4 linked regions of the Rhinolophus ferrumequinum genome follow. The protein of the gene in region 1 interacts with the protein of each later gene in a pairwise test. Links are inferred from orthologs where the notes say so. Each region holds a gene or a part of one and is shown in the gene's direction. Other genes may lie near its edges.

What was found.
Region 2: the proteins of ADAMTSL4 (region 1) and OTX1 interact in binary tests that used the Homo sapiens proteins (3 or more experiments, as listed by UniProt). The two-hybrid records come from large-scale screens. The link is inferred for Rhinolophus ferrumequinum from reciprocal best matches to the Homo sapiens genes ADAMTSL4 and OTX1.
Region 3: the proteins of ADAMTSL4 (region 1) and CREB5 interact in binary tests that used the Homo sapiens proteins (3 or more experiments, as listed by UniProt). The two-hybrid records come from large-scale screens. The link is inferred for Rhinolophus ferrumequinum from reciprocal best matches to the Homo sapiens genes ADAMTSL4 and CREB5.
Region 4: the proteins of ADAMTSL4 (region 1) and TOP3B interact in binary tests that used the Homo sapiens proteins (3 or more experiments, as listed by UniProt). The two-hybrid records come from large-scale screens. The link is inferred for Rhinolophus ferrumequinum from reciprocal best matches to the Homo sapiens genes ADAMTSL4 and TOP3B.

What each region holds. Positions count from the first base shown.
Region 1 is NC_046305.1:50,813,452-50,820,997, forward strand, and holds the start of ADAMTSL4 (ADAMTS-like protein 4), read left to right. Parts: upstream 1-4,179; 5' UTR 4,180-4,284; intron 4,285-6,610; exon of another isoform or gene 6,611-6,633; 5' UTR 6,634-6,747; coding exon 6,748-6,767; intron 6,768-6,992; coding exon 6,993-7,050; intron 7,051-7,360; coding exon 7,361-7,546. UniProt on the Homo sapiens protein: Positive regulation of apoptosis. May facilitate FBN1 microfibril biogenesis.
Region 2 is NC_046296.1:26,506,693-26,514,899, reverse strand, and holds the start of OTX1 (homeobox protein OTX1), read left to right. Parts: upstream 1-5,127; 5' UTR 5,128-5,225; intron 5,226-6,729; exon of another isoform or gene 6,730-6,796; intron 6,797-7,096; exon of another isoform or gene 7,097-7,198; intron 7,199-7,548; 5' UTR 7,549-7,613; intron 7,614-8,207. Other genes in the region: EHBP1 (EH domain-binding protein 1), read left to right, coding at 1,418-1,532, 1,751-1,841. UniProt on the Homo sapiens protein: Probably plays a role in the development of the brain and the sense organs. Can bind to the BCD target sequence (BTS): 5'-TCTAATCCC-3'.
Region 3 is NC_046303.1:13,463,741-13,471,018, reverse strand, and holds the start of CREB5 (cyclic AMP-responsive element-binding protein 5), read left to right. Parts: upstream 1-3,889; 5' UTR 3,890-3,947; intron 3,948-7,278. UniProt on the Homo sapiens protein: Binds to the cAMP response element and activates transcription.
Region 4 is NC_046308.1:22,783,390-22,791,770, forward strand, and holds the start of TOP3B (DNA topoisomerase 3-beta-1), read left to right. Parts: upstream 1-5,356; 5' UTR 5,357-5,425; intron 5,426-5,710; 5' UTR 5,711-5,789; intron 5,790-8,381. UniProt on the Homo sapiens protein: Releases the supercoiling and torsional tension of DNA introduced during the DNA replication and transcription by transiently cleaving and rejoining one strand of the DNA duplex.

The sequences.
Region 1 (7,546 bases):
GCCATGTTTCCCAAACACATATGTAAGAAGATGTATGCATGGGTTCAAACTCCTTATCGTAGTTGTCAAAGTACTGACGATTTTGCAGTCTTTTTTTAAAAACTAAATTTTATTGGGGAACATTGACGGACATTGTATTTCTCCAGGGTCCATCAGCTTCAAGTAGTTGTCCTTCAATCTAGTTGTGGAGGGCACAACTCAGCTCCAAGTCCCGTCGCCGTTTTCAATCTTATTCCCAGCAAGCTTGTTGTTAAGAGCTTGCGCTCTAACCGGCAGCCCCTCCAGCAGCTCATTGGCAGCTCATTGTCTTCCATCTAATTGTGGAGGGCGCAGCTCACTGGCCCATGTGGGAATTGAACCAGCAACCTTGTTGTTCAGAATTCACGCTCTAACCAACTGAGCCATCCGGCCGCCCCCGATTTTGCAGTCTTAATGGCTGACAGGGTTATGCCAGATCAATTCCTTCAATTCCATCAACATTGAGCACTTCCTGTTTTCAGAATGCCGTTGAGCAGTCACATGGCTCAGGGTGGCACAGAAGCAAAGTCTGTCACCAAGGCCACTGAGACCTACCTGAGAGGCACTGGTAGATTGAAATGTGGAGATCAAATCAAGAAGAATTCTGGCTTTGGGTGTTTCTGACCAAATTTAACATCTCCAGAGTAGTGACTAGGAAACCAGAACGTCCCATCCATGTCTCGGTCCTCATCTTACCAGATGGGTCACATCCTGTTTCTTCATCGTTTCATCACCCTAGAGCCAGCTCAGCCATGGGGCGAGACAACAACCAGAAAGTGCTGGAACGTGGCCAGAGCTGAGGCAGTGCTCACCATTTCTCATTCACGGGCTCATCCCCCAAGCATTTATTAAATGCCTACTATGTGCAGGACAAGGTGGTGGATACAAAGGAAAGCATGGCCAGGTGGTCCCCCACTCCCCACCCCAGGTTGCTCATAGAGAATAGGTCACAACAGCCTGTTCTCATAACCGTTGTGGGGTGAGCTAACTGGGCCAAAGCAAAGCCAAATGGTTAGAAGAATGGCATCTTCTTCTAACCAAGAAAACAGTGTAAAATAACGTGACAGGACACGGAATCAACGGCTGCTGTGGAGCGACTGGGAATAGAGTGGCTCTTCTGGAACAAAGGAGTTGAGCAAACCGTGATTCCGAGAGGCAGAAAGGCAAACAGCAGGCTTTCTGAAAATGGTTGCTATGACCACAAACCAAAAGACAGATAGTTTCACATTAGTTTCTGGCCCCACCTGTACCCACTGGTATTAGTGTCCGTATGATCTTGGAACAGGGACAATATCTCATAGGAAACATTAGTTTAAAATATTATTTAATTCGATGTAAATAAAACTTCCTTAGTTTACTACCAGGAAAAAAAATTATTAACTGAACTCAGCTAAATTTCTCACAAATTTCACTTACACACAACATATAGAGATAATAGCTTCTAATTGTGAGATTTGGGCAAATTACTGAATTGCTCTTTGTGTCTTTGTTTCCGAATCTGTCATGATGAGGACTACATGAAATATATATACGTGCGAACTTTATTATTATTATTATTATTATTATTATTATTATTATTAGTGTCTATAGATTTTATCTTGCACTTCACAAGTTGTGAAATTCTTGTCTTTATATAATAGTTTCAGCCCCCCAAGTCATGGGAGGTGACAGCTGTAGTAAATCTCGCGAGCTCTTTGGTCTGCAGCCACTTCTTAATGGAAAGGACTATTTCTGACCTTCAGTTCACAGCAGTTACAAATGTCAAAGGCAGACCGTTTCCATCCTCCCGGCTCCCTTCCCACTCTGCTGTCTTCAGGGCCATCTTCCGGCAACTTGCCTCCTTGTAGAATGCCGCTGGGGTGTGACTGCAGGGCACTGAAAGGTCCCTGACCTAAAATATCTTCTGTGCCCCTGTGGGCTGGGCATTTCGTCACCTGCGTTGTACTCTGAGGTCTGAGCAAAGGGGCTTCCCGCTCCAAATCCATGACTATAAATATGCCTCTTGGTTAGGACTGTGTGTCACCCACAGTCCCTAGATAAACCACCCCTCCTGGGAGGGGGGCATTCACCTCTTTGAAAACACAGGACCCAGCAAGACTGAGAGTGTTCTAAGGAGAGGCAAAACTTGAGGCCTACAGACAAACCTGACCTTGGTGTCTAAAAGTTTTGTTGTTGTTGTCGTGACTTTTCAATATCTTAAAAACAGTATTTTATCACTTCTCTTGAAAAACAAAATTAGAAAAATAAAAGCACTAGTAACATTGTCCTGCATTGCCACAAAATCACAGGGATCTCGGGTGTCCCCAGCCAGTTTACCCACCTGCCTATGCACCTCTGAGCTTGATTGGAGAAGCCTGGAGAGCAAGCCTGGGCACTGGGACTCATTTGTCCGTTCTATAACATTCCAATTCAAATATTTCTTTTAATCCTACAAATCCACAAAAAAACAAAACACAAATGCAATCTATAAAAAGGGATTTACTGAGGAAACAAAATATGCACGTTAAACTTCAAATAAGGATCCAGTTCTTGCATTTTAAAAGGCTTTTATATTTTCACTTCCCTCATCTCTTAGAGATAACATTTGCTAATGTTGAGTCCAGTATTTATGTGCCCATGGCTGTCTGTCCCCAGCTAGATCTAGCTCCTCGAGGCCAGAGATTATCATCTAACTGTGGCCTCACCACCAAGTACCAAAGGTGCTCACTGTTAGTTGGGTGGGAGCATCTGAAACCCTGTTATTTTATGGGGATGCAGAACAACGTTGATTAGAACTTCTGTTTTTATGTCTTTATTTTTTAAAAATTTTATTGGGGAACAGTGTGTTTCTCCAGGGCCCATCAGCTCCTACTCGTCCTTCAATCTAGTTGTGGAGGGCGCAGCTCACTGGCCCATGTGGGAATCGAACCAGCAACCATGTTCAGAGCTCCTGCTCTAACCAACTGAGCCATCCGGCCACCCCTATGTCTTTAATTTTTAAAGAGAAGTTATACAATATCCTGGTTTTAAAATATTGACAAGTCACTGAACAAAACAAAAGCTTTGGAATACTGAGTAGATCCGAAAATACAGGACTGTGGCTCGTGAGTAAATGGCAGATAAAAATTTAAAAATAGTGACCATTTATTAGCTACTCTATGCCAGCCATTGTATATATATATATTATTTATTTTTAAACGTAACTAATAACACTTATGGTTACAAATTCAAACAACACATAAACATATAGTGTAAAGTGCGAAAGCCCGTTTTTTCCCTCCCCAACCCCACACCTCTCCTCAGCTGTGGCCACATAGTCTGAGTTTGGGGTGCATTCTTCCGAATATGAATGGATATAGACACATTTCCAAGCTTACTATATATGTATGTGTGTGTGTGTGTGTGTGTGTATATATATATATATATATATATATATATATATATATATATGTATATCTCAGATTAGCCCCATTTTACAGATGAGGAAACTGCAGCACAGAAGGGCCCCCAGAGTTGGCAGGTAAGTGCTCGAGCTGAGATTCAAATCCAGATCGTGACTGCTGAGTCAGCGCATCTGTCCCACTGCGCCCCGTGTATAACATTTTATGGGTGAAGAAACCGAGGCTCATCTAGAGGTCCCTGAGCCATCAGCAGCGCACGATGCACGACTCAAATTGGGAGAGACAGGGATGCCCGGGCTAGCGCGAGAGGCTGCGTGAAGGAGAGCGCCTTGACCCACGCGGGTCTGGGGTCGCGCGGGACCATGCCAGCCGGGTACGCAGCCCCCACCTGGAGCCTGGACTCGCCCGCGTCGCTCCGGGACAGGCGCCACCAAACTTTTTGGCCCGGCGTTCGCATCACCCACTCGGAGCCGATCCGGAGGCCGGGGTCCTGGGGTCCCGAACTCCAGTGGGCCCAGCACACGGGCCCAAGGGCAGTGCCCGGCAGACGGCTGCCGCCGAACCGGCTGGGACCGTCCCGGTTTCGCCCCCTCGAGCCATCGGTAGGCGCCCCGCACGCAGGGGTGACCAAGGCCCGCAGCCCCGGGTGGGTGGCCCTGGCGAGGAGGGTTTGGGGGTGGCCCGCCCCCACCCGGGGGCCGCGGAGGGGCGCTGGCTGGGCGCGTGGCGGGCGGGGCGGGGGCGGGGCGGGGGCGGAGCCGCGGCCGGAGGCGGCAGTGTCCCGAGCCGGGCTCAGGGGCCGCAGTGGCCGCCGCGGAGTCAGGCTGACTCGAGAGAGCGCCCGGGCGCAGAGGGGTTAACGGGCCGCCGGGGCCGCGCAGAGCAGGTACAGACCCTCCCTGGGACCCCCGGCCCCGGCGCCCTCTCTCCCGGGTCCCGTTAGGCCACCCGCCCCGCGCACCCGCGCCGCCCCCGCTCCTTGCGCCCCAGGTCGCGCCATAGCCACGACCCCGGCCCCAGCTCTTACAGCCTCGGAAGATCTTCCAGTCCCTGGGGTCAAATTCCTGGGGAGGGGGCTCTGATCCCGTGGAACTCTGTCCCTGTCATCTGGGATGAGAATCAGCCAAAATTCCTACTAAGTCACATAGTAAAGTTGGAAAACATACCTAGGACCTCCCCGCACGCGCCGGCGCCTCCTGCCCTCCCCTGGAGGATATGTGCCTCCACCCCCGTCGCTCCTAGAGTTGGGGGACAGGGGCGCTGAGAGGGCAACAGGTGGGTGCCGGTGATCCAGCTCAGCCTGATGAGCAGAAGGAAAGACACCTGTTGGGATGGTCCTCCGGGACCCAGGAGTGGAGGGCATAGTGAGGACCAAGGAGTCCTACCCAAGGCAGGGACTCTCCGCAGCAGCCAGCCAGAAACGTGTCGTCTAGCCCTTGCCCCAGCAGAGCCTCCTATTTCCCAGAGGTGGGTCCCTCTGGGGGTGAAGGGATTAGCCCTGCCCATGTCTCTCCTCCTTGATCTTCACTGGCCAGTGTGGAGGTGTGGCCAGGAGGAGCCCAGGTTTGTCCTGACCAGTGTCCAGCCTGGCACTGGTGACCACTTCTGACCTCCCCTTTCCTCACCCTGGGCAGTGAGAGACACCAGATAAGAGACATGAAAAGGGGTGAGAAGCACAAAATGTGTCCTGTTTCCACACTGGAGAGGGTGTCGGCCCCCTGCCTAGCTGTGCAGGGGGGCTGGGGTAGGACTTTTCCAGAGAGAGAGCCAGGCCTGGCCCAGGCCCCAGGAGCTCACGTCACCCCCACCCCCCACCCCTCACTTCTCCAGGGAACTGCCAAAGCCAAGCCCAGCTCAGGACAGGACTATGTGTACTGGGTAGACCCATGGAGAGACAGCAAGATACAGACCTGGGGAAGCAGCAAGGGCGTGGCGAGGGGACCCCGCAGCAGAGAAAGGGCCAGCAGTGATCCTCACCCCCTTCAACTTCAAGTGATTGAGCCAGGCAGAGAGTGGAAGGTTTGGGTGGAACTTTGGCCCTTCTCTGGAGCCCCTCCACCGCCCCCATCAGGGCGGGGTTGCTGACCTCAGTGGTCAGCCCAGCCAGGGGAAGGCGAAGCCATCAGCAACCCCCTCCCCAACCGCAAGCAGCTGGGGTGACCCTGTGGGTCAGGTTCAACCACTGTCCTCCTGCCCCGAAATTCCCAAGTCCTGGGGTCTCAGGGAGGGGAGTGGGGCTGAGTGTTGCTATCCCCACGCACATTCCTGCGCTTCCCTCTGTCATTTTCCGGCCCCTGGGCTGGCCCACCTCGGCACTGGCTCCCTGGACTCCTTTCCCGGGTGCCTTTCAGATCCAACAGAAACATTTTTTTTTTCCTGGAAAGCAGAACTAATGGATGAAAGTGGGGGTGGGAAGGGCTGGTATTGAGCAGGAGGGGCTGGAGGGTAAGGGGAAGCAGTGGGCAAATCGGGCTGTGAGACCAGGGGAGGGTTCCAAGTGCCACTTCTCTGACTGATCCACGCTAGACTTCAGGATGGACTTCTGGACTCTTCAGAATGCTAGGCCTGTGGTTGGGGAGCGATGGCAGCTCTAGCTGCATCTCTCCTTCCCAGGTACCCCCAGTCCATCATAGTGGCACCTGAAATAAGCCCTCGTTGAACCAAGGCTGGATGCTGGCTCCTAAAGGGAGGTTAAATCGCAGTGGGCAAATCACCTGCTTCTTTAGAGATTAAGCATCAGCCCACTTAGTTTATCCCTTGGCTAAAAAGTGATGGAAGCACTTTTGTGATGCCTGAGTGTTCCAGAGGAGCTTAGCTCAGGGAAGAAAAGGCTGAGAGGCAGCTAGGCAACAGAAAGCCCAAGGGGCTTCATGTCAGCTCCTTGAGGGGGCGAGGGGGCGTCTGGCATGTCCTCCCTGGAGCCTCCCTCTTCCTCCTCGCAGGTCCTCTGGGAGGGCAGGGCGGGAGTGGGGGCCAGATGAAAACCATCCTAAGAAAGATGCCCGTGCCTGAGCTGGCCTACCTGGATAAGGGAGAAGCTGAGAAGTCCCTACAGGGCCAAGGGGAGGAGACTAAGCTTGAGACTCCCACCCTTTCGCCTCAGCAGCTGGACAAGGGCCGCGTCCCTCTCACGCTCACCCTTAGGATCCTAAGGGGTGGGCCAGGCTTCCCCCACCCCACCCTCCTCATTCCGAGATGTCTTTCCTTCTGAGGAGTCACCCCTCCCAACCCCCAGCTTTCTGGAGACCAGGGGTAATCACCAGAGCACACGCCTACACGTCCAGATGCTGGAGTAGTGTGTTTACTTCTGGTCCCCTCCTCCCTTGCCCGGAGCAGTCAAGGAGAAGCGATGGAGAAGTTGGTGGACAGGTAAGAGGTGGGTTGCCGGAGTGAACGGATGGCTCTGACCCTGGAAGCGAGGGAAAGGAGATCACTGGGAGGGGCAGGGGTGGGAGGAAGTGATGAGTAACTTCTGCTTCCTGAGAAGTTGGCATCGGGATGTGGGGAGCCTGCGGGGGGTGAGGGGCCATGTGGCAACACCAGCTCTGGCTCCTGGCCGATGGCTGACGTCCGCATTTGGCCCTTCATTTGTAGGCCCCGGTTGTGTCTGATGCTGCTTCTGTCCCTCCCTCGGCTCTGCCTGGATCAGGAGGTGAGCCAGGGACCAGAGGCGGTGACCCTTTCACCTCCCCTGACCTCCCATCCTACTTGTCCAGGCCATGCCTCCATTTTCCACAGCCGCTGATGAGCCCTGGCCCCTCTCTCTCACACTTGGCCGTCCCCAGCCTCCCCTTCTCCCCAACCCCCTAACTCCTTGCCCAATAACATCAAGTCCAACCTCTGCTACTGCCTGTGACCTTGAGCTGGTGACAACCTCCCTGAGCCTTGAGCATTAGACTACAGTCTCTGTATGGCTTCCTCTAAAATCATTCTAATTTTGTCTGACCTTTTTGTCTACATAGGTGTTGTCTGGACACGCTCTTCAGACACCCCCTGAGGAGGGACAGGGCCCTGAGGGCATCTGGGGTCCTTGGGACCAGTGGGCCTCTTGCTCCCAGCCCTGTGGGGTGGGGGTGCAGCGCAGGACCCGGACATGTCAGCTGCCTCGAGCTCAGCTCCCCCAGGGCCTACCCCTCCCACCCCGGCCC
Region 2 (8,207 bases), on another chromosome or scaffold:
TACAAGATAGAATTCCCTCTAGCACCACTTGCTTTCATATAGCTGCTGAGCAGTTTGCTGTCTTGAATAAATTTTGCTTTGGAGGGGGTGGGGGGGATTTGAACCAGCACATTCTTGTGTGGTTTGTGAAGATTCACATGGTAACCAGCGGTGTGCATTGTTAGGTTTATCTGAATAAGCACCAGCCATGTGAGTTTTAACATGATTGCCCAGGGCAATGGAGAGAGAAGGGAGAAACCCGAAAGGATTGCACTCCACTCTCTTTTTTGGAAAGTGCATTTGCTGGAGGACGGGGGCTGCATGAGTCAGTGGCCATGCCTTTTTTTTAAGCTGGTGTCCTGTTTCCCTCTAGGTCCTCATTTGTTCTCCTATCTGCCTCATCATCTACTTCTTCTTTTCATTGTTTACCTTCCTAATGAGGGAGGCGGGGTAGACTGGGGGTTGATTGACAGCTACAAGCCCTTACAGTCTGGCCAGAGAGCAGTTGGCTTTGGTTTCAGAAATGCTTTAAATGTTCGATTAGGTCCTGTTTTTATTAAACCAAACTGCTGCTCATCTTAAGGAAATTATCAGGCCAGCAAAGATTAGGAAATATTATTAATTGGGGTCTAAAACCGTCCAAAAGAACTCCTAACCACGGAAAGAGAACTGTCCATCAGATTTTCCAACCTTTAACATGGAATTTCAAAAAGAAGTATGTAATTTTTCATTTGCAAAAGTGCTTTGATTTGAAACCACCCAGCAAACCTCTCCAAAAGAAAACTGGCTGTGATGCGATCGAGAGCTGCAGTGTAATATTGCAGAGCAAATTTATTTTTTACTTCAAAGAAAATGCTAATTAGCCGATTCACTACTTTTAAAGTTATTGTGAAGCATATGGCGCCCAGTGTGAGATACATCCAACTGCTAAAATAGAGCATAGAGGAAATTAGCGAAGAATGGGGCTGTACAGGGTAGCTTGGGGGTGGGGGAGGAGGATAGGTTCTCAGGCAGATTCTCTAGCCTTTCAGAATGATTTTATCGCCCATCTCTGCTTCCCGCCTCCTCATTTACCCACATCCACCACCACCAAGCCTTGGGCCGACCTCTTCTAGGCCTCCAGCTCTCCCTCCCCTACTAGGGCGGAAATCAGGTGCGCACCTCCGGCTAGCCAATGGTTCACACCTGGTCTCTTTTGCAGGGTCCAACTCAGCCGTAGCCATCTCCATCTGCGGAAAATATTTAGAAAGCAGCGTTTTAGGGGTGAAAACCTTACCACGATGGCCAAACACCCCACAGAACACTAGCTAGTGCCTCTGTAATATGGTTTGCAGAGTACAAGGAAACTGGAAAAGGCGGGAAGGGAGGATGTGTGTGTGGGGGGGGGGGGGGCTGCGAGTGTCCCGCGGGTGAGTAACGAGCCTTCGGTCCTTTGCAGACTGGCAGAAGACTGAGGCCCAGAAGCGACGGGAGCAACTCCTGCTGGATGAGCTGGTGGCCCTGGTGAACAAGCGCGACGCGCTCGTCAGGGACCTGGACGCGCAGGAGAAGCAGTAAGTGGGCACTGGGATCGGGGTCCAGGCTCTGCTGCCTGCTGAGGGGCCGAGAAGTTTGCGGAAACTTCAGTCCAGAGGTCTCCAATGGGCCGGGACAGCCTCCCACTGGCCCCGCTGTGCCCATTCCCGCTGGGGCTCGGAATGCAGGGCAAGCGGGGAATGCTGGCTTTGCCCTCCACGTAGAAAAATAATTTTGTTTCCTATTTGACTTCCAGGGCCGAAGAAGAAGATGAGCATTTGGAGCGAACTCTGGAGCAAAACAAAGGCAAGATGGCCAAGAAAGAAGAGAAATGTGTTCTTCAATAGTAGCCGGACCAGAATCTTTCCCAACATTTTAGTCTTGGGTCCCCAGACCAGAAAATGTCAGACTCGTTGATTTAAAACTTTTAACATTTTGTTTGGCTGGATTATGCTTCTTTACCACCACCCCTTTTCCTCCCTCCTTTCCAGATAATAGACAGAACTCCAAAATAGCTTTGTTTAAGGGTTTTTTTGTTGAGTTAATCATTTCCTTGAAATCATGTGAGATAGATTTGCACAGACACCTTGTGAATGATTGGTATTACGAGTGTTCAAGAAACTGTTCAAAGAAAGAAAGAAAAGAAAACCCTTCCCTCAGTATTTTCCCTCACTTTTTGATAGGAAGAAATTGAAAACATTTTTTGTTGTTGTTAATAGCATAATGACGGTGGGAGGGGGGTAAGAAGGGAATAAGAAAAATGTCATGAATGATTTTTTTTTCCAGTCCTGCCATATGTAACACTGACTCTGTTACCTAAATTTTATAGTTAGATCATATTCATTCTACTTATTAAACTGTGTTCTATTTACCAGTGGGATTTTCTGCAGTTGTTTTGCATTTCACTGTAAGGATAATAGAGTTCCTCTCCTCTGTTTTCCTCAGAGGATGATGGCCCTTTAACATAGCCTGAGACAAGTCCTGTGATTTGAAGGTGAGCTGTGAAGATGGTATTAATTGACATGCATCAGTTTACAAAGACAGTCTTATCTTCTGAGAATGCGCCATCTTTTTCTCTAGATAATTATTTATTACATCTAGCTTGGTTCCTACATTTTGTTGGATTTCAACATTGGCTCAAGAATGCTGTTAATATTTATTCTGTATTGATAAAAGTTTGTCTTGCCACTATGAGTAAATCCCCCAGTTAATATTTTCTTCTCTAGCGTAGCACTGTCATTTTTTTGTGAAAATGGTTACCTGTTTATTTATTACAATGCTGAAGTCATATATAAATTTTCAATAAAAGCAGAAACTTTCTTACCTTAAACACTCTGCTACTTCCTTGCAATGAAAACTTGACACTGGTTTGAGAAGTTTGTGTTTCTGTAGGACTTTTCATGTGGGGGAAAAAAATGGTCCACTTGAGCACTGGGCAGGATACTGGGCTGTATTTGGAGCTGAATAAGTTTACACCATCCCGGAGGGGCCCTGTTGACACAGGAATTCGAATTGAAAAGCAGTTAGTCATATTTTCTTAAGCAGTGTAAACTATTATCTTTTATAAACGGTCATTTCTGTTAAAGATTTGAGGAAATTTGTGATTCCACAGCACTGAAAAAAATGTTAATATCTTGATGAATTCTCCACATTATTATTTTCAATTGTTATAATTTTACAGCCATATGAGGAAGAACTACAACTTCTAATAGCCTGCAAATCTGTAGATGCTAAAGTGAAAGAAAGGTTTATTGCTGGGGGGTGGGGGGGAGGGGGTAAGTGCTGCAGGTGTGTATGAGGTGAGGAAAAGGGAACTTTTAAGAAGTTCTAGGCAACAGAAAGAAACTGGCGATTTTTACGGTAGTTTCCATTACTCCTCTACAGAGGTGTCCGAAACAAAGAAAGCTCATTCAACAAGTCTGGAGAGAGAAAACAGTTCACTCGCAAATAAATATACTTTTGCCTAGATCATATATATGTATGTATATATACATATATATAGGTATATGCATATATGTGTGTACATACACACAAATATTTATACATACACATAAATTCGTTCGAAAATATGCAGCCACTTACAATTGCCAGTCTTTCAAAATGATAAACACTTGCTACCGTAGAATTTCTTCACGACAGAAATTTTAAGAAGTTATTGAAAAGTTATCGGAACTCAGTGAAATCGGGTATTTGCCCTCTTTATTCGAGCAGAAGAGCCGAGCCAGCGGCAGCTCTCTGGGGGAAGCTCTCAGACGCACGCTCTAAGCCCTGGCAAGCCGGCAGACGGAAATCGCCAGCCCAGAGCAGCCTGACGTTTGGGAGGCCAGCATCACCCACCCCATTTACGCTGGATTCGGGGAACCTTCCCTCCCGAGGAGCCTCACAGAGAGGCGACTCCCCCAAGCCGCTCCCGACCTGCCAAGCCCCAGATTTGCTGCCCCTCCTGCCCCAGGCGGGAGCCTCGCTGGGGTCCCATTTGGTCTGCTCCCGAAGACCTGGCGCCGTGGCGCCCGCACGCCCCGCAGCGGCGGCGGAGAGCGGCCCCCAGGACTAGCTGGGTCAGGCCCGTGGCGAGGGCGCCGTGTCCCGATTGCCTCGCGTTGTGCCCAGGGGCTGCTTCTTGAGCACAGGCGCGAGCCCAGCATACGGAGAGGCCGGGAACCCGAAAGCCCGCGCTGCAGGAAAAGAAGCTGTGCGCGCGGGGGTCGCCGAGGAGGAGGAGCGTTGGCAACCGGCTGGCTTGGGCACTGCCCGGCGGGCCGGTGCAGAACTTCCTCCTCTGGCCAGCATCCCACGTCCCCGGAGCCAAACCCCTCCCCTTGTACCAAGTGTCCTCCAGAGTATGGCCTGGCCTCGAGGTCACCTGGATGCTGGATCCGGGTCCCGGAGCCCAACTCCCACGCTCCCTCCCCGGCCCTGCGGGCCACGGGCTGAGTCGACTTGCCTTCTCTCGGGGATGCCCCCACTTCCCCTCCCCGCGCTACGGCCGTTGCTGGAGAGGTCGAGGCTTCTGGCCAAGTGTCTCCCACCTGGACATGTGCCTAGTGACGGCCGCCTCAGTCCTGTACGACGCATACAAGAAACTTTCATCTCAGTCTCTCTCTATTCTCCTCCCTCTCCCCTCTCTTTTTCTTCTCTTAATCCCGGGGTTTTATGGGTTGAGCATTAAGAAAACTCGCCTGCAATTTGGGATTAGATAAGTACTCTCATTGGCGGCGTGGGGGGGGTGGGGGAGACCGTGCTACTTGATACCTCCCAACTTCCCCGAGACCGTGCAGCATCTGGAACCCAGAGCGCAGGGCTCCCGCGTGGCGGGCCCTCGGGACCGCCTGAGCACATTCCAACGCGCACAACCGCCCTACCTCGCCCAGCCGGACCTCCGCCCCGCGCTGCAGCTGCAGGCATAACCGGGCGCCGAGAAAGCATGAGAGCAAGAGGTGGCGGGTCTAGGACAAGGCACGCACCCAGGCCCTGGAGGACTAAGCCACACACACAGCGCGCAGGCCTGGGCTGGAGCAGCGCATTGCTAGGGACACAGTCGCTGCCAAAGCGCACCCCAGGACGCCCGCATTCGCTTCCCCCAAAACTATTGTGCTCCAGCCCGCGCCTTTTCCCAGAACTGAAGGAGAGGGTGTATTTCGTTTCTTTCTGTAAACCTCTGCAACGTCTCCGAGGGCTCCGAGCCGCGGGCCTCGCGAGCTACTCCCTGCCGGGGCCTGCGCAAGCCTAAGGTGTGTCCCCGCCCGGGTCAGCGCTGCGCTCTGCGCAGTTTCTTTTCCAGTTAAAGCTTTTCTTTCTCATGTTTTTCCTTTTCTCTCGTTTCTTTTATTGTTTTCTCTCTCTCTCAGTCTTTCTCTTTTGTGAATGGGCTGCGGTGTCTTTGTTCTAGAGAGAAGCGCCCGTGTCGCTGACTTTTGTGAACCAGAGAAGGATCTTGTAAAACCTCCTTTTCTCCTTCGTACTCCCCCACTCCGACCCCTCCTCCTTGGCCCCTTTGATTAGATGTTCCCTCATCTTCCAAAAAAAAAAAATGTAATTTCGTTGGTCTGGCGGCCACTTTCTTTGAACATTAGCTCGCTTTCAGCTCCAACTTCAATTAGAAGGAGTTGATTTTGAGAGATCAACAAAAGAACCGACCAAAGCCTTATTAAAGGTCCTAAGAAGATCTCCCAGGTCCTTTGAGAAGCAGTTAAGGAAACAGTGTGCCCTCCATCATATTCTGTTACCGTATTTTATTCGGACTCCAAAGGAAAGTGTCGCTTGGGGGAGGGGGAAGCACTTTGATGAGCGGCGGCCGCGGCCCCTTTCCACTCAGCGGGCTCCCCCTTCTTTCTGCTCCTTGCGCAGCGCCCGGTCCTCTCTCGGTGCCCGACCCCCTCAATGCGCCCGGCGGCTCCCTGACTCTCTCTCACACCTACTCCTGTCCAAACTTCTCACTCCGCCTGTAGGGGTGGAGGGAAGGGGGATTAGGAAAAAGGGGTATGAATTCCTCGAAAGGCAGTAAAGTCGTGCCTAATATTCAGGAGGAGGTGCCATTTGAAAGAATTGCCTTGCTCAGGATTGGGGCGAAAAGACGTTTTTTGAGCTTTGAAAAGTCCACCAGGTGGACGTGTTTGAGAAGTTTGTTTGGCTGAGAAATGGGCTTTGCCAGTACGAACAATACGGGAAAATCGCTTCAGGGAGGCTCCTTCTGCGGCATGTGGGAAAGAAAATGAAGGCAGGGATCTGTGACCACCTTTTCCACCCGATTGTCCCTGGTAGAAGAATACTGGGAAAGAGACAGAGACGGAGTGTGAAAGAAAAAGTTTCCTATCAAAAATTTTCGATTCAGAAGTAGAGTGTGTGTGGAAGGGGAAGGGAACACTGGGAGGGGACACGACATTTCAGAAGAAGCGTTTAAGATTTGCAAACACCCTTCGTGGGGTTTGGGAACTTCAGGAAACGCCGAGGAGCAGGTAAATGGCGGGGCCTCTCCTGCGGGTGCTGTTCACGGGAGCGGGAGTCCTGGGGCGCCGAGGTGGGTTCTGCGCACCCGGCGCTGCGCCCGCGCTCGGCAGAGTAGCCTGTGCCGGCACGAGCTGCCCGCGGCGTCCGTCTGCAGGTGGCGGCGCAATGGAAGAAGACGCTGGGGCCCACAGCGCCGCGCGAGGGGCCGGGGGCTGGGGGCCCATTCTCCTCCAGCCCGCCTGAGTCCTCGCGCCCACAACCCGGCCGCTGAGTCGGGTGGCGCTCGGGAGAGCTAGAGAACCGGTTCTCCAGCACCTCGCCTCCTCTCTGCCACTCCCTCCGGGGCGCTGAAAGGGTGAGAGAAGGGCGGGGGCTCCAGGGCGGCCTGGGGACCGGCGTCCCCCTCCGCGGCTGGGGCTCCGGGTCTGTGCAAGTCTTCCTCGCCTGGCTGTGCGCGTAGTTTGCCAGCCAAGCCCGGGAGTTAGCGCGCGACCGGGGCGGGGCGGGCGTGCAGCGAGGGCGGGGTGCAGGGGGCGGGGGAGGGCGGGGGCGCGCGGAGGTAACCCCCGACTCGGGCTGCCATTGCCCGGCTCCCTGTCACTCAGCCCGCGCGGGGCCCAGGATTGGCAGCCTAGCCCCGTTACGCACTCACCTCGCGTTCACATACCCAGGGAGGGCAGTAGAAAGGTGATCAATCTTCATCAGGCTACATTTCCAATCACCTAAACAACCGGGCAAGACAAGCCACACCGACAAGGTAAATCGCTTGATTTATTTAGTTTGTAAAGTGCCTCTGCAGGACTTCCCCAGCCCCCACCGCCTCACGTTTTACCGGGAGTGCAGCGGCAACCGCGAGCTGCCTCCCAACTCTGCCCCTCTCACTCCACCCTCCCCCTTGAGGCCCCTTGGCACGATCCTGGGCAAGGTAGTGTCTCGGGAGCGTGTGGGGTTTTGCAAAGTGTCTGTGCAATAAAGTGAAACTTGGAGGGACACGCATAAAGCCAGTGGAAAGGAAGAGACGGGAGGAGGGAAGTTGGGAAAAGAAAGAAATCGGCGGTCCTAGACAACGCCAGCCCGGCGGATAATTCCTGCGGTTCTGTTTTGCAGGTTGACTGCCCGGCGGGTTCGTGAGGGCGCGAGGTAGATGGTGAGCAGCCCCAGAGCTGAGGGAGGTAAGGAGAAAGCCGCCGGGCCGCTCGGGACTCTGGTACGCGCCGGGTGCTCTTGCGTTCCTCTCCTCAGACGGGTCCCCACTTCCCGGGTCCCGGCACGTGGGCGGGGCTGGAGAGCGGCCTGGCTCCCCTACTGGTGCGCGGAGGACCCCAGGGCCCCGCTGCGGCCCCGCGCCCCCGCCTCCTCCGAAGTAACCGAGCTGAAGTGTTAAGTTTAAAGAAAGTCTTTGAAACTCACACTGCAGCCTAGCAGAGTCGCCGAGGCCCAAGAGCCCCGGCTGTTTCCTTTTCGTCCCCTTCTCTGCAGGCTGGATTCTCCCAGCCCAGGCCGTGCGTCCCGAAGGATAGGGGCGGGAGACTTCTTTAGCTCTCACGTCTCTCCCTGAACTCCTTAGCCCAGGTCCCAGGCCTGCGTTGACTTCCCGCTAAGAGGGGTGAAGAGACAGGTCCCCTGGGGCCCCAGTCCCACTCCCTCAGCACCACTTCCCGACCCCTGAGGGTAGCGCCTCAGGTTCGGGACAAGTAGGGAAGCGAGGCTTTGACCTTCCAGCCCAGGTCAGCGCGAGCGACCCTGAGGCCTACTTCTCCAGTCCG
Region 3 (7,278 bases), on another chromosome or scaffold:
TCCTCATCTGAGGGCACTTTGGGATGGTTCTACTCAGGCTTGATATTCACTAGGTAACCACTGGTAAGGCTGTAAATGTGTTAAAATGTTAAAATTCTTCCAATGCGGTTAGCAAATACCCATTGCTCTTACCTCTGTTTTATCCATTGGCCCGGCTGCCCAGGCCTCTCCCTGGCACTGCCCCATGATCTAGCCACTAAAGGGTTAACCCCTGGTCTAGCATGCGGTGTCATCTATTCTCATTGGTCAGTGTAGGTGTCAGTCAGCCCCTCATAGGTCCAACCAGTGTCTTTGTATACGGGTGGGCTTGTGCCCTACTTGTGACCCTACCCTGTGGAAGGGTGTGGGGAGGATCCTGGGTGGGTGATACCCCAACAGTTTACCTTGATTCTAGTGTAAGTGTCCCTGTCTTTACAGGCCCCCTAGGCCTTAATGGGTAGAATCCTAGTGGGTGAAATGGCATTTCTGGAGGTGGTGCTGGTACCTCAGTAGTCAAATGCCTCAGGTTATGGCCACCACCAGCTGTGGTATCCCTAGAGGTTCTCTAGCATGGCTGCTTCTGAGGACTGCAGCTTCCATGGGACTTTGGCTCTGAGAGATCCTGGAAGAGCCTGGGTGAGAGCACGAGGCATGCAGGAGTTCAAGTCCACAAACCTCAGGGCTGTGTTGGCATGGCTTGACAGATGAAAACCTGCTTGGCACAGATGATGCACGCAGGGGTTAGTGTGGGGCCGGGAGAGTTTGGGGAAACAGTGTCTGTTTTCATTTATTTGGTCAAATTTGCTAAAAATCACTGAATGCCTTCCTATCGTGGCATTAGACACATTTCTCTCGTTAATAAAAATGCAGGCAGGTACTTACATATTTATCCTGTGCCAAGCACAGTTCTTTACTCATTTGAGTTACCATCATCCCCATTACATAGATGAGGAGACTGAGACCCATAGCCACAATTCGAATTCAGGCAGCCTGCCATTAGAGTCCACACTGGGAAACACTACCTTTCTTCTCAAGTTACATTATTAAAAAAAAGTGTGTGTGTGTGTGTGTGACTTAGTTGGTAACAGAGATCTGAAATATATAAAAAACTGTCTATAATACAATGGCTAGAAACATTCTGAGTGAAATTGCTGTCAGTTCAGTAGAAGCTGAGAAAGGAGTCAGCAACCTTAAACAATACTACTGATGTTAAGAGAAATTATCTACCTATGGGGACTCCAAGTAACCTAATGATTATCGAGTAATTGGGGACGTCATTGGAAAAGTTCCATGTGTATTACTATGTCAATCATGGCTCAGAAAGGGGCATTGTTTACTTAGTGACGGCATGCCAAACAAAAGGTCCGCAATTTTTAAAGCTCAACAAATGATCTGGATAGCATTAGAAACTGATAAACTACTTGCATTAAAACTCATATGTAGGGGCCGGCCCGGTGGCTCAGGCGGTTAGAGCTCCATGCTCCTAACTCCGAAGGCTGCCGGTTCGGCTGTGCCCCCTGCAACTAGAAACGGCAACTGGACCTGGAGCTGAGCTGCGCCCTCCACAACTAAGACTGAAAGGACAACAACTTGAAGCTGAACGGCACCCTCCACAACTAAGATTGAAAGGACAACAACTTGACTTTGGAAAAAAGTCCTGGAAGTACACATTGTTCCCCAATAAAGTCCTGTTCCCCTTCCCCAATAAAATCTTTAAAAAAGAAAACCTCATATGTATATGCTTCTGTTTAGAGAATACTGGAGATTCAATGTTTTAAATTTACATGTCGATTAACTACTTACAGGCTTTTAAATATTTTGGTTATCACCTCGGCATTGCTTATTCAATTCTCTATTCTATTCTTTTGGTCCCACCTGTCAGCTGGAAAAGAAGATAAGCTCTCAGACTGAGCTCTGATGTGTTGAGCTGTATCCCCTTTCTGCTTCATTTGTTCCTCCTCTGGCTCATACTTTTTCTTTGAGGGAGAAAGAGGTAGATACCTCCTTCAGGTGGAAAAGGCTTTTCTGGCAATCGAATGGGGATGTGGGCAAGGAGGCTATCCTGAGTAGGGCTATTGCTTCCTTCCATAAACCCAGGTAATTGAGCTGTCATATTTAAAGTTTTATTGGTTAAGATTCAAGTTAGGACTGGAGCCCTTCTTTTGCAGGTTCCTTCAGGGCTACATGTGGAAAAGAACAAACAGAAAACTCAGTGATGCGTCCTGAATAGGGCTGTAAGAAATGACAAGTCGTCAGTCCCTATGGTCTCAAGGAACACTGAAGGGGAGGGAGTTGTTTGAACACTTCAGAACAGAAAGGAAATGCAAAGCTCTTCCATTCAGTATGTCAAACCAGCTCAGAAGTATGTGACAATCCAGGCAGAGCATTACAGTTTCAAGCCAGTCCAGTCATGATTCTCTGGCAAACCGCACAGTCATGGTTATGAGGCATTGGGATGAGGGGTGCTATATAAATGTCATCTGCTACATAAATGTCAGGAATAATTATTGTTTGTTAATGGGGGCTAAACTGTTTCTAAGCAAACCTCTTACTCTCAGCCAACACATCCTTAGCAGAGGTTGTGACCACCAGTAACCCAGGAGAAGCGAATGCTCACTCCTGGTTCTAGAAAGAAGCCTAGTTGGGATCTGGGCTTTAAAAACAGGGGTTGGGGTGATGCCACTGCCACCAATTGCTCAAGTGACTTCAGGCCAGCCCCCTCACATTCTGGAGTCTGTCTTCCTTCACCTGTAAAATGGGGATAATTATAACACCTGCCCTACTTCTTGTGTTGGGTGGTGAGAATCAAGAGAGTTCACGTGGGTGTGAGTGCTTTGTAAAGTGTGAGCTGCTGCAAGGATGACAGCGGTCGCATAAAATCGGCTGGAATCTCGCCTATGCCTTCCCTTTGAGTCCGCCTCATAGGGAGAACATCTGAATGGAAATTAAGCTGAAGATGGTGATGGTGACTGGCCAACGCCGAAAATGCCAGGCTCCTTCTCTCAGGAAGTTGTCAGGAAGATACTGCAGACCAGGCGCCGGGATCCTGAATTCTGGCTCTGGCTCTGCTACTTGCCAGCCTGTGAGCTTGGGCAAGTTACAGACAAGGCTCTGGAGGGAATCGCCAAGGGCCCTTCCGGCTCTGACGCTGAGTCTAAATCAGGCTCATCACTTGGCTCCAGCAGTGATTCACCTTTCGCCTCCAGGAGCAACTCTCCCTCCAGCTTCTCAGAAGCACGAAGCAGGGGTCTTGGAAAGGGTGGGGTTTGTGTATTTCATGTGAGGGTGCACAATAAAGTTATTCCCTGCAGGTGAGGTGGGGTGGGGGCGGTTAAAAGGAGTGCTGTGTGCGCGCTCTGAGAAACCAGGATGCAGTGCAGGGAACACTGTAATGAGGTCACGACTGTTGTCGCAGGCAAAAAGGAGCTGGACATCTGCTGTTGGGGGAGGAGGGTAGCGTCCTTCATTTCTGTTGGTAGAAAGTCTCTTCCCGCACCCTTCAGGACCCCCTTCCCACCTCTCCCCTAACACCCCTCCCCACACCTTTCAAATGCTACCAGGCCCTCCTCGCAGGAGAACCCGTGTCTGTGCCTCCTCCGTGGTCCTGTCTGAAACCCTGAGGATTGTTTCCAAGCTGACTCACACCACTAATGTCAGGGAGCCGTGTCACACGGCGCTGGGCTCTGCAAGCTGTTGCTTGCGCGGTCGTCGCCGCCGCCGCTCCGGGGTGGGTGCACCAGGTTCCGCTGGTGGGGCGGGGCTGGGGCGGGGCCCGCCCCCTTGGCGCGCCGGCCCCGCCCCTCCCTCTCTCCCCCGCGGACCGCAATGATTTAGAAGTTCAGGAATCCCACGTGACGTCACCGGGGGGGTGATGTAATGCACTCTAAATAGAATGTATTGTAATCTTTGCTCAGTCCAACGTGGTCCCTTCACCCGGGCTCCGCTCTTGCCTTCTCCACACTTGTTTGGTAAGTTCCTAAAAATACGGCTCGGCCACTTCTGGGGCTTTTGCATTTAGCCACTTTTGTTGCACTTGCCGAGGGAGCCATCTCGGGAGCGTACTTGTTTGCAGGGGTTGGTTCTCGGCAGCAGCCGCGAGGTTACTCGGTCCAGTGGGCAGGTCACAGGGCAAGGAGTAGGGAAGATGCGATGCATTTTTTTTTGGAGGGTGATCTGTGTTTGTAAACACTTTGGCGGACCAGAAGGAAGTCCGGCCCCAAATAATGGTGAACTGTGGAATTCTGCTGTGTCCTGAGGCCACCCCAGAGACCCCACGCCGTGTCTTTCCCGGAGCGCGTCTCGGTGGCCGCTGCGCCGTGCGACTGAAGGGATGCTAACGTGGAGTGAGCGCTGTGTCCACCCGGCGTGCGTGCGTGTGTGGGAGCGCGCGTGTGTTTCCCTGACGCGGGGAACAGTTATGAATCGGGGGTGTGTGTTTGCCTCCAGAGACCTGGCAAGGTGCGGAACCCTCCAGAAGTGCGGTCAAGCGGTGGCACCGGCGGTGGCAGCGGAGACGGCGAGCCAGGAACCTCCCCCCGCGTCCCCAACTTCCCGGTGATGCGGCGGAACCCCCGAAGAAAGTTTGCAAACTTCCAGCAGGCGCGGCGAGGACGCGTGGTCACCTAGCGGGTGGGCAGGAGGGCGTGCGGGGGGGCTCGCTCCCTCCCGGGTGCCGAGTCTGCTGCTGCCACCTCTCCCGCAGGGCTGCCCGCCGCAGCTGGTGGGCGCGCGCACCCGGGGAGGGGACATCGCCCTTGGAGGCACTTGGCTTTCGCTCCAGGCACGGAAGGCTTGAGAGTGGTGAGGCTCTGCTCGCGTTCACTCTTCAGCCGCCTCCTGCCTCCGTCCGGTGCTCGCTGGCATCGTTACCTCTTCCCCGCCGCTGCCCCAAGTGACAGCTCGGGCTTCTGCCGCGGCGGCGCGGTGGCAGTTCCCAGGACTCGGCGAAGGAACCCTCCTCTACGACAGTTTCTCCACGGAACCGCTTAAACTTTTCACGAAGTTCTTAGAGGGGCAAGACACGCGAAGGAACGAAGGAGATGTTTTCTCCTGGCAGCTGCACCCAGCTTCTTCTTTGCCATAGATTTATTTCCGGGCGGGGGCGAGGGTGTGTGTTATCTGGTAGATAAAGCCCCAGACGTTGTCCACCCTCCTTCCTAACTTTCCCTGAACGGGTGCCGCCCCCACTTGATGTTTGTTCAAGGCCAGGAACCGGAGTGGGCTGCTTGTATATTTTGTTGTCAGTGTCCGCAGAGTGTGTTTGATTTTTATTTTTCCCTCCCTCTCTGACATGTGTCAAGGAATAAAGGCTGGATACAGGTCCATTACGTCATTCTGCAGGCCAGTAAGTGATTAACAGCTTCAGATACTCAAGGGTTCGGGGGCTTAGAAATGCTGACAAAGCAACTCTGCTTCCCACCCCCAGCCCCAACATACTTGTACAAGCGCCAGTTCCGTGGGCATCTGTATTGCTCCCTCCTCCGGGACCCCTCCTTCGTCACCCCCTCTCCCTCCCACACCGTTATCACTCTGGCCCCGCCTCCGCCTTTTACTGTTTTCCCCGGGGCTATCACTGTCCCTGGAGTGTGGGTAAGAGCTTCTGGTGTCTGAGGGGAGCACGGTACCTGATCAGCACACGCACAATCTGCCCTTTTCTATTATTTACGAAAGGCACCAGCGACCCCTCTTCTCCAGGGCGAAAACACTCAGCTCTGATAGAAAGACATCTCAGGAAATGCTTAGAGACGTTATGATGATACTGTGTCCCTGTGGTGATTTAGGAAAACAACACACCCACTGCAAACATAGCACTTAATTTTACGTAGCGCCTTTCTCCAACCGCTTAGCAGACCAGGGAAGAAGTGAGGATGCTGACTAAATCAAATTTAGCTGAAAGGATCAAGATTAAACGTTTCATTTCCAAAGTGAGGGAATGTGAGTCGTTAAACCCAAAATACCATACAATGAATTGCTGCGTGTGTTACTTTCTTTCCTTCAACCTTAAGTTTCTATATTTAAAGAGGACGTTAAATACACACGTTATATGAATTGAATCAGAACTTCATATTTGGCAGTGGAAATAAAAACACCAGTGTGTGACCATGTTTAAGGGATAAAAGTAAAAACTCTTGGAGCGGGAGGAGTGTGCACAGCAGAAATAAAAAAAAATTACTAGTGGGGTTTTGGATGGAGTGGGCAGAGGACTTGGGTGCTCTCTGATTTGGAGTGGCTGAAAACTAAATAAAGGAAAATTTATATTCTGAGGATGTGGGGATTTCTTGAAGAACACATGTTTTGTTATAGTCAGACCTACTTTCTTCAAAGTGAAAGCCATGCTGCAGAGTAAGCATTTGTGAAACTCCTGTCTGGGATCTAATTGACAATCCTTCCCCAAGTTCGAGGCAGTATTTATTATTTATTCACATCTAGAGATGAAATAGTACTGCCCCCCCACCCGCACAAACATGTGCATCTAAAATGTTAAACTTCTTGTTTATGATGCATAGACCTAAAGGAAAAAATGGCCCGGGTCACGGACACTGGAGAGTGTGATTAATGATCAGTGATTTAGTGATCAGTGATTAGTGGTTTTATTCAAACTGTTACCTCTGACCAGAAGCACACATCAGAGGATTAACAGGCTCTTTAGATAAATGCTCATTAGTGGAAGGGGAAAAGCAAAGATAATAGGCATGTACCCAGGGACAACTTTCGAAGAAAATCATTCCCGTCTTCAGAATAATAAGCTCTATTAACAGAAAGCCCTTTTAATTTAAAACTTGCTTTTATCTTGTAAATCAAAGTTAGATGTAAAAGTTTGTAGTGCCATTATAACCTAAATTTTCCCATATCCACGAGATGTGGATTATCTCAGTAGCGATATTTTTTTTTTCATTTAAATAAACAATTGGACCTTTAGAGCAGCTGAACCCTGACAAGTCCTTAACTGCCAGGGTTTGAAGGTGTCCCCCCTTCTAGAATGGAGAATGCAACTTGCTAACTAGATGGCGCACTGTTATTTGGTGTTCTGTGTTGTGCTGTGCAGGAGTCAAAGCGAGCAAGTAGCTGCTTGCGAGGTGTTCTTCAACACTTACAACAAAGTTGATTCTGTGTAGGGTTGGAGGCTAGACAGTTCTACAAGTTTTTAGTCACATTTTCCATGTCAGTTAAATCTAGGGAGTTCGAGGCTACTGGAAAAATTAGTCTCATTACTAAAAGAAACGTAGAGAACGAGGGAGGAGAGAGGTAAGGGAGTCCAGGAGGTACCTCTGAGTTGCAGAAGTGATTGCAAAATACCAG
Region 4 (8,381 bases), on another chromosome or scaffold:
CCCAATACAGTCCTGTTCCCCTTCCCCAATAAAATCTTTAAAAAAAAAATTCAACATCTAGTGAATGTAGTGAGAGAAGATGTCATTGTCCCCAAATTCATCTACAACAGATTCAATGCAATATCTATCCAAGTCCCAGTTGGCTTCTTTGCAGAGATTGACAAGTTGATCTTAAAATTCACATTGAAATCCAGAAACTCAGAATAACCAAAACAATTTTGAAAAAGAAGAACAATGATAGAAGACTCATTTCCTGTTTTCAAAGTTTACTACAAAGCTAGAGTAATCAAGACAGTATGGTGCTGGCATAAGGATAGACATATTTAGATCAGTGGATTGAATTAAGAGCAAAAAAATAAATCCTCACATTTATGATCAGTTGATTTTAAACCAGGTTGTCAGGACAATTCAATGGGAGAAATAATACTATTAAAATACATTTCTGGAATGAACCTAACCTGATCGTGACACATTGTCTTTTTAATACCCTGTTGGATTTGGTTTGCTAAAGTTTAGTTTTGGACTTTGTAGATACTTTCATTAGGTGATACACCTAATCTGTATTAGTCACCCACCATGATGGAGGGAAGGGATAAGTAGGGGTTTGGGCAAATGACTCACCTCTGCAGAGAGGACAGGTGGCTGCATTCCCATACATGTGACCTGAGAAGGCTGTGGGGACTGCAGGAGGTATCTAGTACAAGCACAGAGACAGAATTATGAATCTTGAGCTATGGGAGGCAAGCCAGGGCTGGGTAAATGTCTTGGAAAGCCTCACTCACTCGACATCACGTAAGCTATTTGTGCCTTTTTGGGTTCTGCAACTGTTTGCTTTTATTTTATTTTTCTTCTGTTTCTGATAAGATAATTTCTTCTCCTTGTTTGCACCTTTGGGCATGGGGGTAATATGTTCAGGGACTTGCCCCAGGACAAACCCCAAGCCCCTTCCCGGGGATGTTTCTCCTCTTCCTTCATTTCTCAGCAGAGCCATATCAGGGGTTCTGGATCAGCGGACAACCCTCAGCGCCTGCTCCTTCTTCAGAAGGAGCCTCTGTCTTGGGTCCTGCAGGCCCCCAGATCTTAGCAGAGACCCCAACCCTCAATTCCCTCCATCCTGGGAGGAGGGTGTCCACTCTGCACAGTAGGGCTCCACTTCCTACCCTAGGCAGGAATCCACGCTCACCCACCCTCCTGGGACAACCCTACTGAGCCCCTCTTTTCCCAGATAACACCCCCACCCCCAGGCCTGGGCATTGCCTCCACCACTGCCCTACCCCCTACCCGTACCATCCTCAAAGAAAAACACCCAGTGACAACCTCAGACCGAAGTGGTGAGTTGGATTGGACATAGGAAAAGATGGAGAAAAACTCAGGCCAGGGCGGGGAAGGACTTAAAGGGATAATCCACATGCATTTATACCCATGAATTTGACTTAAAACAAATAGACAAATTCCTTGAAAAATACAGTGTCCCAAAATGACAGAATACATAGAAAACCTAAAACGTCCTATATCTGGTAAAGAAACAGAATTTCTCAGTTTTAATTTTCCCACAGAGAAAACCCCGTGTCTCAATGGCTTCCCCCGGTTAAGTTTTCGAAGCATTTAAAGACTAATACTAACCCTCTTGAGCCAACCTCACCCCCCAGCTAGAGATGGGCAGTCTCTAGCCTCTCCTATTGCCCCAGTGAAGAGGGAAGTTTCTCTTAGTGCAGACCAGCTCCCCTCCTCGGCGCGGTGCTGATCCTCCCTGCACTCTGCCTGCAAGATGGTGCCGTGAAGGGTGGCCTGGGCAGGAGCTGGAAGACAGCTTTGGCTCCTGGGAGCATTGAAGACCCTAGGAGCCAGGAGCCAAGTCCTAGTTGCAACACCGTTCGTATCTCTCAGGAATATACCCACAGCGCCCTCTGCTGCTTTTGAGAAGATATTACAAACGCTGCCCACTGAGTTTCCAGCCATCATTCAGCCTGAATTCACTGAATCCACACTAGAGAGAGAGAGAGAGAGAGAGAGAGAGAGAGAGAGAGAGAGAGAGAGAGAGAGGCAAGCACAGGGCAAATTCAATCCTTAAGACTGAGAGAGCAACTAGCATGCTTTCTTGGGTGTTGGAAATGTTCCTTGTCTTGATCTGAGTGTGGTAATGTGGGTATTCGCATATGAATGGAATTGTCAAATGTACATTTGTGATAACTGTACTTTACTGTTTATAAGTTTTACATCAACTTTCTCTCTCTCTCTCTCTTCTTTTTTTTTTTTTGTCCATGGGATTGTGCATGAGAAATGAAGAAAAGATTGACATTTTTGGCTGTTTTCTGACCACCTGAGGGAGTCTTAGCTTAGAATCACTGTTGTATATGATTTTGATTTAAGAAAAACAGCTGCTAAGAAACTAGGAAAAGAATGATAATTTTTTGGTTGTAAATAAATAAAGTCTGAGTTCCATTAAGGAGCCTGCAGCCTAAAGAACTATCTTTCCTTATTTCTTGGGAGTATAGGCAAAATGGATATAATGGGCAAAGTAATGAATAGCTGTAGAAGCCAGAAGAGTATGAGGTAGAACTTGAAGCTTATTTGTTTCAAGCACCATTTATTGAAAAGACTTTCCTTTCTCATATTGAATTGCCTTGGTGCCTTTGTCAACAATCAATCGACATTGTATATGCCCGTCTTTCAGTGGAAGCTCTATTACATTTCCTTGATCTCTGTCTTTCTCCTTATACAAGTACCATGCTGTTTGATGACTGCATTATAGGAAGAGTTGATTTCAGGTCGTGTCTTTCAACCTTTTTCTTTTCTTTCAAGTATATAAAATAAATAAACAGACAGATAAAACAGATTTGACAAAAATTTACAAATTTAGAAGATAGGCCAGAAAAGAAAAAGAAAAAAAAGTCAACACATATATAATAGGAGATCCTGAAAAGGAAAACCAAAACAAGAAAATAGTACAAATTCAAGTACAAATGTACAGAGTCAAGAAAACTTTCCTGAAATTAGAAAAAAAAATTTTGGAAAGCTATATATTCAGAGGGAAACTATGAACCTGAGAAAATTGATCGCAATGACCAACACCAAGATTTATTCTAGTAAAACTACTAAACTTAAAAGCAAAAGAAATATCTTTGGGCCTCCAGGCCCAAAATAAAAAATCACCTACAAGGGAAAGAAAATCAGATTATCAAATTTTTTGAGAGCAACACTTTATATCAGAAAACATTAGAGTGACATATTTAAAATATTTTCGGGGAAAAAATGTGAGCCAGGGAATTTAGGTCCAGCCAAACTGATTTCCAAGTATAAAAGCCACAGATGAACTGTTATCAATACAGCATAGTCAGCCATGAAGCAAAGATACACAGGGAGCTGATATAAATATAATATGTGAGTAAAAGAAACACAAAATTGCCAGAATTGATTTACAAACCATCTTGGTAATAAGAAAGAGTACAATTTACCCAGAAGAGATATGTGTCTCACTTCCTCTGGGGTCTGGCACTCTAAATTATGCAGGCTGAACTGTGGTGTCATGAATGACAGTAATAACTAGCCTTGTCTCAGCCTGAAACCCAGCAATGGTCAGGAAGGCTGTGTTGCCCGACTTGGAGCCAGAGAACTGAGTCAAGACACCTGAGAACTGACCGTTGTTCTTGTAGATGAGGACTTTAAGGAACTGGCAGATGCTTGTACCAGTTTGGGGCACACTTGATGCTGCTGCTGCTTCAAGTGCAGAATATGGTGATTGTACCTCCCAGAGACTTAACACTGAGGCCGGCTGAGTCAGCACAAACTTGGGCCCTGAAGCCTAGAAAGATAAAGAGACTAAGAAAGCAATGAGAAGTCCTGCAGCCAGTGGTTAAGAACTTGGCTTCTAGAATCAGGCTGCCTAATTTTGGAACCCTGCTCTGCCATTTATATCTATGACATGTCTTCTTATGTGTCAAATAAGGATAATAATAATTATTATTGTTGTAATTAATAATATCTAATTCTTAGTGTTGTAATGAGAATTAAATGTGTTAATAGTAGAAAAGTGCCTAGAACAGAGTAAGCACTGTGTGGGTGTTAACTATTAACAGTGTTATCAAAACCACGGTCCAGCCTATGCGCAATCAGAGAGAAGAGAGACCTGGGAGCTCTCGGGTATCCCATCTACCACAGCCAGGTACCTGTGCAGTAAGTGAGGTGTTCCTATGAATCTAGGTCATTTGTCAACCTAAGGGTCCGTAGGAGGGCCTGACCGACAGCTCCCAGGGAGGTCTGTGTGGAGGGCTCAGCTGCTGGGCTCTTGGGACAGAGAGCATCAGCGGAGCCAGGAACCCTCTTGAGACCCTCAGGCCTCCAGAGATGACCACTCAGCGCCCCCTGCTGGGCCCAGGCTTCAGGTCCTTTCTCCTGCTCTTCAGAACGAACCCCCCGGAGCTGGGTTAAATGAGCGATGGGGTTGCCTTTTTACCAGTTGGTCGAACCGCTCAGATCCAACCTTAGCCCTGGCCGCTATAAGTGGGGGCTGTGTGGAGAACAGACCGTAGGGCAGCAGGGTGGAGGCCAGGGGGGGTAGATGTGGCTTGGATCAATGTGGTGGCAGCCGAGGCAGGGACGACTGATTGGGTCTCAAATACGTTTTGAAGACAGTGATACATAATGAATGAGAGAGGAATCCGGGATGCCTTCAAAGCATTGGGTTTGAGCAATCAGGAAGATGAAGTTGGAGATGGAGAGTCCGCCAAGGAGTGAGTGAGTCAGTTGGTTTGAAATCATAAGTTCTATTTTGAAAGTGAAATCTCACTATGATTCTTATTTTTTGGTATTGCCCAACTTTAGTTTGACCATAGAACTTTTCTTTTTCCAGAGTATTTATCAGGGCTAGTATTCCAATAGAGGCAAGTTGGGAAGAGTGTCTACAGGGCTCAAAGGAAATGTGTGTACGCTTGTAAAAGATATTAAAATATGGTCATAAAAATTATTTAAAACGTCTATATCCCTAATGCTTTATCACAAAAAAATACTTTTATTTTTCCAATTCATCTTACAGATATAATTTACACAGTTCATTCATTCATTCCACAAATGTTTGTAGCATTGAAAGAAGCCTGCTATACACACATCTGTAGTTTTAATTATTTTAATGATTAACTATATATATTTTCATGCTTATCATCCAGTTTTTTCATAATCATTATAATGATCATTGTCAATATTGCCTCCCCGCGGGCAGAATGGGGACTACCTGCAGATTGTGGTTTGCAAAACGACTTGGGGCTGCGCTGCCGGAACGTGCAAGCCACGGAACCCATGGAGGGAGACGTGCGGGTGCCGGAGAGCAGGCAGTCGCAGGGACGCCAGCGGCTGCTGGACCCGGAAGTAGCGGTTGCCTGTGGCCGCTCTGAGAGCCGGAGCCGTAACCGGAACCGCGGCGGAGCTGCGGGTGAGAGGCAGGCGGCGGGTGCCGCGCGCAGGGCTCAGGGATGTGGGAAGGGAGCCCTTTTCTCGGGCATGTGTCCCGAATGCTGGCCGGGCACCGAGGGTCCCGGGACTGGCTCTTTGCGTTCTTGCTACCTCCTCCCTCCTTGTGGTGGTTCAGGGAGGTGGTGATAGGCCAGCGCTTAGCCAGTTGTCTGGAAAGAGCAGATGCTGTAGTTAATACCCTTCTCCATCGAACCTGCTCGCAGTTCTTTGAGATGGGGTCTGTTGTCCGAATCTGTTGTCACAGGTAGGGAAACTGAGGCTCAAGGAGGCCGTGCAGCGGTCGGGCCAGGATTGGGCTCAGGTCGGCGAGGCTCCAGGTCAAGGTAGGTTCCACTCGCAACTGCCTGGGCTCCAGCTCAGGGAGTCTTGAGGGTGCCCGGGCGTTTCTCTGAGTTGTTGATGTAGATGAGGGAGGGTATTTTTGTGAACAAATTAACTAGAATCCAGGGGCGGTAATTTCTCAAAGATGCAAAAAAAAAAAAAAATGGCTTTGTCTTGTCTCCTTACTGCCCAACCTTTGGGAACCAGAAGTCAGGCCAACGTGGACGTGATAGCCATTGAGCCCTGGGGTTCCTAGAGCCTTTGCAAAGAACGGTCATCTGATACTAGTCTGAACTCCAATTTACTCATAGTTTAAAAAATTACGACGCAGGCCTTGTAGGGTTGATGGCGAGATTAAATAGTGTTTATAGCAATAGCATTCCTCATACAGAGGAGGAGCTTAAGAAACGGTTTTCTTTCCCTCTTTTCCTGACTCCATGGGTATTTGATGAAGTTACTAAGGTGGGAAATCCTAGGGCTCTAAATGCTGTTCAGACCACTGCTCGGCCTCCACTCCTAAGCTAAATCCTCTTGTTCATAAGACACTGACGTGAAAAGACTTTATCTACAGTGTGTCCCAGAGGACACATACCATTGTGGTATTGCTGGTGAGAGTTGACAAGGTAGTAACAGACTGATCTGCTGCTCCTTTTCACTTTCAGCCCTCCTAATTACAGTCCCCAATTTGGAGTGTTTGCTATCAACACCCCCTTAGCACTTGCTAATCTCCCTTTCTGAAATAAGAGGACAAACTTCAGTCTCAGAGCTTTGGCAGGCAACAAGATCAAACTTGGTAAACCACATAGGTTACCGGAAAGAAACTTGTTCTGGCCATTGATTACAGGCTTTCAGTGCCTATGAGGCTGTAAAATGTCCCCTTTTTATATATATTTAAACTTTTTTAAAAAGCAAATCTTAAGTGAATAATAATGTTGGTAAGGCACAAGCATTAAGATGGTATATAAATAAGGTTTGCAAACGGTTGCCTTCAGCTTTTGTTCTCATTGACTTCCATTTGAAATTGGAGATGTGCCTTAATGAAAAAAATGGGGACACCCTAAGATTAATCAGAAGATTAAAACAAAACAACAAAAAACATGTACCCAGCTGGAAGAAGGAAACATGAGTTCCCCCCTCAATTCAACCAATTCCCTGGGTTACCTTTGGAAAATGCTTTCTTTGAGTCTTAAATTTGTTTTTCATCCTTGAGATAGTGGTATCATCAACCAAGGCCCTTTCCCCAGGATTCCATGATTCCGTATCCTTAAATGAAATGATATTTTTTCCCTAATAAAACAGAACATTACAAAGTACTCATGCTCAGAACATTACAAAGTACTCATGCAGTACGGAGGTATAAACTGTTGAATTAGAACCTGTGATTCTTGAGAGCCAGACGGCTGAAGAGAGGCACGTATCGTCGGTGAGTTAGCATCTGCACAGCCTGACAGGTGGACAGGTGATCTGAAATTGGGACTAATGCTGATGGGCCTTTGTGTGACTGTCCAGTTGTATCCCTAGCCCTGGATCAATGAGGCCATCCCTTTGAAATTGCTAGGACAAATTGCTTCTCTGTAAAGGGATCTTTAGAGAAGAATCTTAATGATTTACTGAAAAGGTGCTTAGGATCCATAGGTATAAAGGGGAATAGTGGAGATGTAAGATTTCTAGAAACTTGGACACCATGGAAAAAAACATCGAGAAGGAGAAGTATTTACAACACTCTTACAAATTTAAAGTCAGTTTTTAAATTTTAGACATCTAAAAGAGTATTTTTATTCACTTTGCAGATTGAATTACTCATATTTTCAGTCATTCATTCAATCAGTATTTGCTCATGGTCTACTACTTACCATCAGAGTAAATAAAACCCCTATTCTCCTGGAGCTTATTTAAATTCTAAGAAGTGTAAGACAAAACAAACAAGTAAGTAGATGGAGACTGTCAGGTATAGTGGTGATTGCTCCAGGGATGTAAAGCAGGGCCGCTGCTCTATGCGGGGTGCTCACAGAGGCAGTACAGGATGAAGGCTTAGTGCATGGGTTGTAGAACAAACAGGCCCGGGTTTGTATTCAAGTCCTGCCACTTGAGCTCGGGTCTCTCTGACCCCACAGTTCCAAATGTGGGGCAGCACAGTTGTAGCACCCCCAAACGAGGAGACTGGCAGCACTGCCAGTGCCTGGCATGTCGTCACTACACTATAATTGCTGGCTACTCTTGTGACACAGAAGTGAGAAAACCTGAGGAAGTGTTTTAGGATAGAACCTTTTAACAGATCTGGAAGGGATGGAAAAGTCAGACTCCCTCTCAGAGCAATCTCCCTTTGCTGCCAGTTTCCCCCTCTGACCTCTGGCTTCTCTGGGTGGGGAAGGGGCGCCTCTGGGTTGCCTTGAAGCCTCACTTTTGGGTCTCTGACTTTGGTAGAACTGAAACCTCCCCAGGATGGAGAGCAGAGGCCACATAAGGACAGTCTTAGTTGTTCATTCATTCATTCAGCAAGCATTCAGTGCTGCTGGGTGTCACATAATACAACAAAACTAGATGCCATCCATCGGGTGGGGTGATGGGTGGGGAGACACAGCAGTGATGCCAGG